3 linked regions of the Rattus norvegicus genome follow. The protein of the gene in region 1 purifies or fractionates together with the protein of each later gene. This does not show direct contact. Links are inferred from orthologs where the notes say so. Each region holds a gene or a part of one and is shown in the gene's direction. Other genes may lie near its edges. The genes, in order: Psmb1, Fbxo7 and Psme4.

Region 1 (3,600 bases):
TCTCGACTGGAGCCCGGCTTGTTGTGCTTAAACTGTGAGACACTCGTGAAAGAAAGGGGTTGGGTTGGTGTCCCAGCATTTTCGGGACCAGGCCTCTGACCGCCCTTTCTAGCTGTCAAAGAGAGATGTAGAGTGTGTAGCGGGAACAGTATTGGGGATGTGGCTATGGGGATCAGGCTCAAGCAAGCGTTCTACCACTGAACTGTATACATCCTCGATCTTCCACGTGTTGTTTTTGTTTTTTTGAGAGTTTCTCCTTGTCGCTCTGGCTGTCTTGGGACTCACTCTTGTAGAACAGGCTGGTCTTGAACTCAAGAGATCGCTTGGCAAGCTCACTGGGTCCTCCACTTTGCTCTGTAGAGTTGAATGATAGTAGTAGTTGCCTCTTAGAGATTTGTGAGATGGATAACGTGAATGGCAAGCAGACGCTTCTTATTATGTTCTCAGTAAATGTCAACTTGCGTCCAAAGAGGAACAGCAAAACAAGCGGCTTTGTAGTCACAGACTCATTTCTATTTTAACTCTGCTACTACCAGCTCTCGTCCTTGCTGTCACAAGAAAACGTCAGCTGTTTCTTAGACTGGTTCTTAATGCTTGATTTGATTCCAACATACCTTAATTTTTTCCTTCCATGGTTCACCTAGGCATATACATGTGTTGTTGTGCTTACTCCCCCCCCCCCCGGTGTGTGTGTGTGTGTGTGTGTGTGTGTGTGTGTGTGATAGAGAGAAAGAGAAAGAGAGAGAGAGAGAGAGAGAGAGAGAGAGAGAGAGAGAGAGAGAAGAGAATCTGTGTGTTGTGTATAGCTGTTGAATAGGTTGCCATATGCATAGACTCTAATAAGTACAATAGTATTGTGTATCTATTTTCTCCTAAAGGAAACATTTTCTCTTGGAAGTACAGGAAACCACAGAAGACTGGGGAATTAAGAAAACTTAACAAAGGCCTGACAAGAGACAATTTATGGGAAGCAGATTTATTTTGGCTTAGTGCTTGAGGGGCTACAATCCAGGGGAGAGCATGACACCTGGACTGCATCCACAAATCGGAAGCATAAATTAGATAAATATTAGTTCGCTTCTTTATTTAGTCCGGAAATCCAGGCAATGAGGTGGTACTGCTTATATTTTGGTTGGGTCTTTCCTCTTCTATTAAACCTTCTTGAAACACCCGCATAGACATGCCCATGGGTTTTACCTAGGTGATGCTAAATTCTGTGAAGTTAACAATATTAACCATCAGATTCTGACTGGAAACCTAGTATTGCTTCCTGGGTCTCATGGCTGCATACACCACACAGTTGACTACGCATCCCGATTCTCAGGCCTTGAATGCAGCAGGAACCACTAACCCTTCCCAAACGCTATGCCACTTCACCAATGTGACATCCGAGTTGTCGTTACTCTGTAATTGGGTTAATTTGTTGGTATAGTCGGACTTTTAATTTTCTATCCGCCATGAGTAAATCCAAATGTTTTCTTGGGATTATAAAACAGGTCTCTCGGAATCGGCAGATCCAGGTTGTGCGGTAGTTGGATGCAGGCGTGGACCTCCAAGAGCAGCGACGAGTACAGGCTAGAGGAGCCCAAGGGGCGGGGCGAGGGAGGCGGAAGTGGACCGGTCCCAGCGGCCATTTTGCCGTGAGACAGCAGGAGTTAGGCGCGATGCTTTCCACTGCCGCTTACCGGGACCCGGACCGAGAGCTGGTAATGGGGCCTCAGGGCTCCGCCGGCCCTGTGCAGATGCGTTTCTCGCCTTATGCCTTCAACGGAGGGTAAAATCCTGGGTGTGCTGCGCTCATCTTGGTTGAGTCCTGGGGTCGCTGCGGGCGGGTGTGGGAATGGCGGAGATGTAGCCTGCTGCCCGGCACTCCAGAGTTGTGCATGAACGCCCTTGGTGCCGTTTGCTTCAGCAGGGCGGGTCCCACTTTAACTCTTAGCTCTATGGGCTATCGTTTGGTAGGGCTTAAACACGTTTCTAAAGCCAGCGCGTGAACATGAAGTTATGAATTGTCTTGATTGTTAGACGAGTAGCTGTTTATTATCGCTGAGTCGTCTGATCATTTATTATATTAAAAGGAAAATAATATAATTAGCCAGACCTAATTCCAGGGATGAAAAGTTAAGGTGGTTCTACTCTTGAGAGACGTAATCTGCTGGGCAAGTTCTACTGAGCTGCATCCCCAGCCTTAGACAGTCGGACCCTTTGTGTGTGTTTATTTTTACTCTCAAATTACTTGTGCATTTTAATCATCCGTTTTATTCGAAGGGATGGTCCTTTCAGTTATTTGAGCTACTTTATAGGTTGAGGAAGACTCAAAGTGGTTACTCTTTTTTTGTAAATTTCAAGCAGTTAAGTGAATATTTTATACTCTTAGTTCTTGGCTCTTGGCATTTTAAACAGCCCAGGTCATAGAGCTGGTGTGAATTAGAACTGGTTTTCAGTTCATAGCGTTCTCAGCCTTGTCCAGTTTCGGTTTGCTTTTCCAGTTGCTTAACTCTGCACGTGAACACTAAGTACTTACATCGTAAGGTGTGTTAATATAATAATTTCCAGGTGTTTCAAATGCAGTACTCACGATTCACTTTTTAACTCTCAGTTCTTACCTGTCACTTTGTTCATAGTTACTTAAACCTGCCTGATAAATAACCTTTCTCCTTTCTCTTTCATACCTTTTAGCATTTATTGCAACTAGCCCTTCATGCAGCTTCTGATTCTACAGTATATTAATTTCTCTTTGTAGCTTCCAGGTTTTGTTACTTTAGACCTTTACTTGCCTCATCCCTGGGAACATAATTCCCAAGTCTGTTTCTGTAACTTTATTTCTCAAAAGTCCCCTCAGTTCTGGCCTCGTTGTAAAACCATTTCTAACTGCATTTTCAGTTCTCAACATAACTCAAGTTAGTAAACAAAATAAGCGAGGTAGTTACTGCTACTCCTTCCTTGAACGGACCCCTTGTGATGATGTATGTCATCACCCTGCTTGGGTCAGTTTAAAGGGGTGGGGTATGTTGTTTTCCTCACTAAGCACATTTAGGGAGTAGTAAAACCTTGGTTGCACACAGTGGTATTGTATTTGAATTTGTCCTTCTTCCTCTGTCATCCTTTCTCCCTTCTGTTTCACCACTTGTATTGGAGCAGTATTTATGTCCCATTTCACATGCTGTACTATTGTCAGAATTGTCCTAAAACCTCACTTTGCAAATGGAGCATTCTCATTCTTGTTCTTTGTGACCTTCAGGACTCCTTGCTAAAATTCTAAACTCTAGCTTGGCACAGTCCATCACATGAGGATTATGTCTCTGGTTACACAAAAATGACCACCTTAATTAAGTTGCCTGAGTGGCCTGTGGTGATACTTCTTTTTTCCTTCTGTTGCTGTTCATAGGTATTTGGAATGCCATTCTTTTTTGCTTTGGAATTTTAGTACAAAACTTGCCTCAGTAAAAATAGTAGGTAATGTTTTCTGGATGTTTATTTCCAAGAAGGAAATATGTTAGGTACTCTATGTAACTTGTGTGTTTAATTCTCACACCCTGTGTAACACAACAATACCGTGATTACCATCAGTTTGAACATGAAGATTTAAAAGTCACACAG
Region 2 (3,825 bases), on another chromosome or scaffold:
CAGGCGAATAGGCACTGATTACTGAAGCAGAACGCACGCACGCCAAGTTGGTCATGAAAACCTCTTGAAATGAAGACATGGTTTGCAAGGGGTTCACAGCGGGTTTGTCATAGCAACAGGTTGTCATAATAACCTTTTGTAATAAAGGCATGGGGCAGTACAGAGCCATTCGTAGTTATGTTTACAGGTGGGACATAGACCAATCCTTGAGAAGGAGAAATGTAATCATAAACAGGAATGGACCTAGTTTGCTTTTACTATAAGATGTCGTTTGAGCCTGAGATGAAGGCAGGCTGGTTTATCAAGATTTAACCTGGAAAGTGGAGAGCTATACTGTTGTGGCCTTCAAATCCATGGAGAGAGACCAAAGACTCAGGCTCAATTCAAATTTATATTAAGTGAGTTTATTCTTACTGCTAGCAGACGGCAGGCATCTTTAGAGCCAAAACAACATTCCATAGGGAGAAGGGGGGGGGCTAAGGATTAAGAGGGGGGTTTAAATTGGACATCAGAAAGGTGTATATTACAACTATTCACGAAATCCACAGCTGGGCAGGAAAACTGTTTTACTTTCCTCAATTGCTTCTTATCTTCCCTATGTAGTAATTAAAAGATCATTTCATCTGTTTCCCATAGCGATAGTGAGTTTTAAAGAAGCAAAGGCAGCTGTTAATACCTCACGGCCATTGTCCTATTCTTATCTCACCTGTAGGCCTCTAGGATCTCCCAGGCCGACAACAGCCCTTAAGGGATCCCTGGCTCCACATCCTTATCACCACAGGGGACCTATGTAAATTATAGGCAGGTCTGAGCACTAATGACCGGAATAGAACAGGCAAAACCAGGGCCATCAGGTTAGGGCGTCTGTCACGTCTGCACACTGTGGGCAGCGCTCGTTCCAGCGCTAAAGATCCTGCAAGCTGGGACCGAAAGAACGAACTCGCTCACCCGGGCGGAAGCGCACAGGGTGTAGCGTGGGCACTCGGCGCAAGGCAGCGAACTCAGCGCCTGCGCCGTGCGCGCCTCGCCCCCCAGGTGGCGCTGTCGCGCCCAGAGCCACCGATAGAGAAGCGCAGGCGCTCGGCACTCGGCTCGAGCAGAAGGCTCTAGGGGGCGTGGTGGAGAGAGCGGCGAGCTGGGATTCCTCAGGCGCGCAGGCCCGGAGCTACTTGCTTTCGGTTTCTCCCCGGGCCGACCGAGGCTTGCGGTCCGCTCACCATGAAGCTGCGCGTGCGGCTTCAAAAGCGGACCCAGCCGCTCGAGGTGCCGGAGTCGGAGCCGACGCTCGGGCAGCTGCGCGCGCACCTCATCCAGGACCTGCTGCCCACGTTGGGGTTCAGGTGAGCGGCGTCGCGGTCGCGGGGCTCGGGAATGGCGCGCGTCGGGCGGTCACATGAGGTCCGGGCCTCCGGGGCGTAGCTGGTCTAGACGCCTGTGACTGTGACGCTCGGCAGCTGAGTGCTGGCCGGGGTCTGGCTTTGGGAGACCATGGCCCAGCCTCCCCCTGGTGCCGCTGTCCACCATGGTGAGTAGTCACTTCCGGGTTGCTGTCACGGCCGCCCCGAGGGCGGGAGGGAAATTCGGGAAGCTTGGCTTGCGTTAAACCTCCCAGTGTAAACCCACTGTGGGTGGAATTTACCTTAGCGGTTAGGATACTTCAGTGGTTAAGTCGGGGAAAGCATCGTAGCTGAAGTGACAAACTTCTTGACATCCTACGTCGCTGTAATTTGTGCCACCGCCCAGGGCTACAGTAACAGGTGAGCGTGCATGTGCCAGACTGCACTTAACTGTAACTTTCTCACTGCAAGGTTTGGAAGTACGCATTCTTCGGGTCACTGGGCATTTTCTGGGTGAGAATGTTTGTTGCTTTTTCTCTAAAATAGAGGCTTGACCCTATAGAGCTTGCAGTTTTGTGGCAAGTTGAGAAAGGATTAGGTTCTATTACTAATTTATGGGGTTGCAGATGAAGCTTCTATGTTTCTGTAGAAGATATTTTCAGGACGTAGAGAGACAACTATATGGATGACCCATTTCAAGTGCTGAGCTAGAAATTTGAACTAGTGAAGAAAATAAAATTAGAAGATGGGCTCTGGTGCTTTTAAAGGGAAAAATGTTAAAAGAAAAACTCTTCCCGTTAATTGGCATTTTAAATAAGTCTTCCCCTTTTCACTTTATTTGTAGGGAATTAAGCAAAATGAAACTGATTAGATTGGTCACCCCCCCACCCCTCCCCATTAAGTAAGCCTGAGGTATACCTTTATTCTAGCGCTCTGGAGGAAGAGCTAGGTGTATCTTTGAGTTCATTCCGGACCAGCCAGTGTTACACAGTGAGACCCTGTCTAATAAAATAATGTTAGGCAAAATATTTTAAAAAGCCCTTTTTCACATTAAAAGAATTAAACAATGTATTCCCATATCGTATATTATATATATTTCCATATAATGGTGACCTACCTACATGTTACTCATTTGGTGTAAAACTGTTTTCTATGTTGATAACAATTGCCACTCCTCAGGCTTTGAGAATGCAATTTTTAAGGTATTTACAAATTGTATTACTTCTCAGTTAAGCTGGGCAGTTTTGAAAGGGTGTGAAACCCAGAAGCCCCTGTTAGTTTCTCTTGCCTGCTGTTTTCACAGTCGAGGTCGGTGTGAAAATCTGAAATTTTGCTCATTTGGGGTACAAAAGGGAAGCTTTAAAATGTGTCCATGTGACACACTTGTTGTTCTTAAAGAGTATTTTCTAAGTAAGCAAACCAAAGATTGGTATAAAACAGATTTTTTTTAAAGTTTGAAGCTTCCTCTTTCCTTTTTGTTTTTGTTTGGAGCTTCTAGAATTGCATTTTTTTTTGGGTGAAATTCCCCCAATGCCGGTGATTACAGAAAATAGGACCTTGGAAAAACATGCCAGAAAAGTGGGAGGGGAAGCTAGCATCTCTGTTAAACAGACGGCTCCTTATCTTGTCTACAGAAGGAATTGTTTGCTTGGGGACTGTCCCCTTTCCTGCCAAGGTTGACCTGGTGTTTTCATGGGCACTGGCAGATTTTCAGCTTCTTGCTGATCAGAACACTTTGCAAGCAGCAAGCAGAGCAGCTTACTGTCTGTGGAGTAGGAATAAATTTAACTCCAGTAACATCTTTAATTGATGAGAAAGGAAAGGATGCGTGTAAGAAAAAGGAATCGGGCTGGGGAGGTGGTGAAAGCTTTTGATGCCCAAGCCTGGCACCGGAGTTTGAAGTCCTCGCACTGATGGGAAGCCGGAAGTAAAGTGGTGTGTTAAGTTTAAGAAGCTCCTCGAGTTCAGCCATGTTGAAATACTGAAAAGTATATGCTCGAGGATCGATGAACATATGAATTAATGATAAGTATACCTTCCAGGCTATTGAAGTTTTAGTTAGAAGTCTGTGACCCAGGCATTTGATCAGAAGAACAAGTAATTTTGTCCCCTGCTTTCTTTCTTTCTTTCTTTTTTTTTTTATATTACATAGTGCTTTTGGGCACATAGCATGTACTTTAATGTATTCCAAATGCATTATTTGGAATATTGGTAGGTAGCTCTTACTATGCTCATCCGTCTTTCTTGGCAGTTCTGATACCCGATTTGCAATTACATTGAACAACAAGGATGCCCTCACTGGAGATGAAGAGACCTTGGCTTCATATGGGATTGTTTCTGGGGACTTGATATGTTTGGTTCTTGAAGATGAAATGCCGGCACCTAACTTACCTTCATCTACAGATTCAGAGCATTCCTCTCTCCAGAATAATGACCAACCTCCTTTGGCTGCCACCTCAAGCCAGGCTAACATCCCAGATGAACAAGG
Region 3 (3,725 bases), on another chromosome or scaffold:
TTGCTTCAGTAGGCCTGTCTTAATTCTTGAGAAACTTGAAATTATGTCAAACAGAGTTATGCAGGGTTTCACACACCTGTGATCCCAGTTTTCAGGAGTCTGAGGCTACAAAGCAAAGAAAAAGTTTCAGAACAGATTCTTGTTTTAAGTGGGTTTTAAGAGGAATCTGATTTGTAAGTACCTTCTCTCATTCTCTCAACTACCAGGCCTTGGAAATTTGAGCATATAGGAATCGGGCTTCTGTCTTTACTCCTAAGGGATGACAGAGTGTTGCCTCTTCGTGCCATACGTTTTTTTGTTGAAAATCTCAACCATGATGCAATCGTTGTTCGAAAGGTACATACTTTACTTATTTTGGTTACTGTGTTCGGTTTGAGAATATCTACCTCAACAAACTCTTTAAATTCTTCATAGACAACGTCTAACCAGTACCTTGAAAGGAATGATTTAGCATCTCCTTCTGTTTGCTCAGAAACAGTAATAACTTGTTCAACAAATATTGGGAGGCATAATCAGGCATTTTATACATTTAATGCTGTAGCTATAACAAGAATAAACTTACAGACTAATAGGAAAGTTTGACTTTTAAAAATTCAAAAATCCATTTTGCAAGCAGAGGGTCAAATCTAAGGGTTCAATTTTTGGCTTTGTTCTAAAAGTGTTACAAATGAGCTTGAAGAAGGATTCTGGCTTTGTCCACTTCTGGAAGAAACCCATTAAAAGGCCCAGAGGCCAACACAAACGGGATGAGCTACTGTTGACCTAAAAAGGAAGGGCAGTTCTTTGAGCAGAGGTTCAAAGGTGGACACACTGGTAGATTCCTAGTTGAATGTTTGTGCTCCTCCCACCAGTGGCAAGTGGTAGACAGTATATTCCTTTAGTTAATTAACTCTTAACTCTTTATCTAAATATCTACTCTCTCTCTCTCTCTCTCTCTCTCTCTCTCTCTCTCTCTCTCTCTCACACACACACACACACACACACACACACACACACACACACACACAAAACACTGCAGTATATTGTGGCAGTCAAAGGACAGCTCCTGGGAGATAGGTCTCTACTTGCACTGATGGATTGGATGATCAGATTGAACTCGGTCATTGAGCTTATGCAGCAGAGCCATCCAGCGAAGCCTAACGTGTTCATGTGCACTTTTTTGGTTAATTTCTCCAATAACCTCTCACCTGGTATTACCCTTTCCACTTTCAAATCTTCTGTTTTGCCACCCCCTCTTTCCCATTTTCTTACAACCTTTCCCCTCTCGTGTCCCCTTTCTAGCATCATGACTTCTTTTTCTCGGGCTCACTGTACATAAATAACTTGTTTATAAATTAGAAGCTATGGATCTGTATAAAAGACGGCAATGTATTGGTTGTCTTTCTACGTCCGGGATACTTTACTTACTATGATTTCTACATCCATTTGTGAATACCATTTTTCCATTTATGGTTGAGTAAAATTTCACTTATGTGTAGCACATTTTCATTATCTGTCTGTTGATGGACATCCAGGCTGATTCCACTTCGTTGCCATTGTCAGAAGTACACCATTGAACATAGATACACAAGTATCTTTGTGACAGGATACAGAGTTCTTTGGGGGACCTAGTCTTTGAGAAACTTCTGCACAGAGTCTGCATGAGTTTACACTCCTACCTAGAGAGAATATAAGCTCCTTTTGGGAGGAGGGTTTTTTGAAAATAAAATCAGTTTTTACTATGGTACAGCATGTCATAAGAGAGTTTTTTCAAAATGTTGATATAAACGTGTTAACCTGTTTGTAGATGGCTATCTCAGCTGTTGCTGGTATTCTCAAGCAGCTAAAGAGAACTCACAAAAAGCTGACCATCAACCCTTATGAAATCAGTAAGTAATACCCCAAGTAAATAACAATGCCTTTAAATAACACGTAGAACATTTCCTGAGTATTCACAGGGTTAGGAGTGGTAGCACAGGGAGAAAGGTTCAGATTTCAAAAGTCAGCTTGAGCTGTGTTAACATAATCCATTGAGTATTTCTGAGCAAGAAGATTAGAAAAGATCTACTTTTCTTACTGTGTTCTTGGAATTTTCCCCCTTTATATTTATTTACTTATTTTTTTGTTCTTTTGTTTTTTTGAGACAGGGTTTCTGGGTGTCCTGGAACTTACTCTGTAGACTAGAGTGGCTCAAACTCAAGAGATCCACCTTCCTCTGCCTCCCAAGTGCTGGGATTAAGGCATGCACCACTGCCCTGAAAGTGTAATATTTTAATTTTGGATTAGACTATAGTCTACAGAAAAATGTCTCAAGAAACTTTCTTTTGAAATAAAGAACATACATGTGGATAAATGGACTAAAATTTTAGTAAGGTGTGTTGATAAAATTAATGACACAGAATCAATGTTAATTTAATTATTTTGAGAACTGTTTTGATATATAAAAGAACATTCTTAGGAAATACTTTTGTATTCTGTACTGTGGGGTGTAGAGACATTATGAGAGCAATTCCCATAAAACAATTCCAATATGTATGTGTGTAGGGAAAGAGAATATGTTAAAATATCTATAGGGTAATGTGTAAAAGTATGAGGACTGTAAGTGAAGAATAATGTTAAAAAATTCCTTGAGCTTTGTAAAAAGCTTGAAATTAATTCAGAACCAAATGTTTTAACGAGCCCTTATAATTTAGTAATCATATTCTCCTAACAGTTAACAATCCCAAATCCATATATCCCATCTTTCCCTCAATAGTTCAACATAAACCCCCTTTCCCTCCTCAAACTCCCACCTGACCCTTTCTCCTAACCCTAACCTTACCCATGCCAATTCTTTTCATATTTGTGTACACGGGTGCACATATGCCATCATGTTTATGTGGAGGTCAAAGTACAACAATGAGTTTTTCTCTCTTAACCGTGTGGGTCAGGGTGCTTGAACGCAGGCTACTATGCTTGTTAACAGGTATCTTTACCTGGTGAGCCATATAGACAATAATATGGTCTTTTAAAGACATTATTTAAAAGTGATTTCTTGTTAAGTGTTGCAGGTAGAGCTAGAGAGGAAGCTCAGTGTTTATGTACATACATTATTTTTATGCAAGAACCAAGTTCTATTTCCTGCACCCATATCAGGCAGTGCACAACTATAATTTATACAAGTATATATTTTTAAGGGAGTTATAGTCAGAGAATGGTAGTGCATATCTCATCCCAATACTTTCGAGGCAGAGGCAGGTGGATCTTTGAGTTCTAGACCAGCAAAGGCTATAAAGTGACACTGCCTTTTTAAAAGAAGGTAGTAGAATTATGTATTGGAAGTCTGGAACAGCTAATGGAGTTATTGTTTTCAAATTATTAAATCTGAATACCTTTTCTTTAGGTGGATGTCCTAAACCTGCCACAGTTCTTGCTGGTGATAGACCTGATAACCATTGGTTGCATTATGATAGCAAAAATATACCAAGAACAAAAAAAGAATGGGAGTCAAGTTGCTTTGTTGAAAAAACTCACTGGGGATACTACAACTGGCCAAAGTAAGCCATGGTCCTCCACCACCCCCTTCCTTATCATTGAATGTTTTTTTTTTCTTTTTTGTTGAACTTAATTTTGTTAGATCCAATTCTAGGTTCAGAGTCACTTTTAAAGGCCTTTTCCTTCTTCCTGTTTTTCTTGAGCTCCTCCCAATGCTGTGCTTCATTTCTTCCCAGTTGTTACACTGCAGTTCTGAGCTTTCCTTAGTGCCA

Evidence for each region.
Region 2: the proteins of Psmb1 (region 1) and Fbxo7 purify together in Homo sapiens (affinity purification with mass spectrometry; 3 studies listed by BioGRID and IntAct, counting the BioPlex papers as one, with this or other methods). This does not show direct contact. The link is inferred for Rattus norvegicus from reciprocal best matches to the Homo sapiens genes PSMB1 and FBXO7.
Region 3: the proteins of Psmb1 (region 1) and Psme4 purify together in Homo sapiens (affinity purification with mass spectrometry; 3 studies listed by BioGRID and IntAct, counting the BioPlex papers as one, with this or other methods). This does not show direct contact. The link is inferred for Rattus norvegicus from reciprocal best matches to the Homo sapiens genes PSMB1 and PSME4.

The regions. Positions count from the first base shown.
Region 1 is NC_086019.1:65,132,817-65,136,416, reverse strand, and holds the start of Psmb1 (proteasome subunit beta type-1), read left to right. Parts: upstream 1-873; 5' UTR 874-1,111; intron 1,112-1,496; 5' UTR 1,497-1,664; coding exon 1,665-1,774; intron 1,775-3,581; exon of another isoform or gene 3,582-3,600. UniProt on the Homo sapiens protein: Non-catalytic component of the 20S core proteasome complex involved in the proteolytic degradation of most intracellular proteins. This complex plays numerous essential roles within the cell by associating with different regulatory particles.
Region 2 is NC_086025.1:19,722,541-19,726,365, reverse strand, and holds the start of Fbxo7 (F-box only protein 7), read left to right. Parts: upstream 1-1,185; 5' UTR 1,186-1,218; coding exon 1,219-1,340; exon of another isoform or gene 1,341-1,488; coding exon of another isoform or gene 1,489-1,525; intron 1,526-1,583; exon of another isoform or gene 1,584-1,757; intron 1,758-3,588; coding exon 3,589-3,825. UniProt on the Homo sapiens protein: Substrate recognition component of a SCF (SKP1-CUL1-F-box protein) E3 ubiquitin-protein ligase complex which mediates the ubiquitination and subsequent proteasomal degradation of target proteins and plays a role in several biological processes such as cell cycle, cell proliferation, or maintenance of chromosome stability.
Region 3 is NC_086032.1:108,772,468-108,776,192, forward strand, and holds part of Psme4 (proteasome activator complex subunit 4), read left to right. Parts: intron 1-206; coding exon 207-336; intron 337-1,786; coding exon 1,787-1,868; intron 1,869-3,361; coding exon 3,362-3,515; intron 3,516-3,725. UniProt on the Homo sapiens protein: Associated component of the proteasome that specifically recognizes acetylated histones and promotes ATP- and ubiquitin-independent degradation of core histones during spermatogenesis and DNA damage response.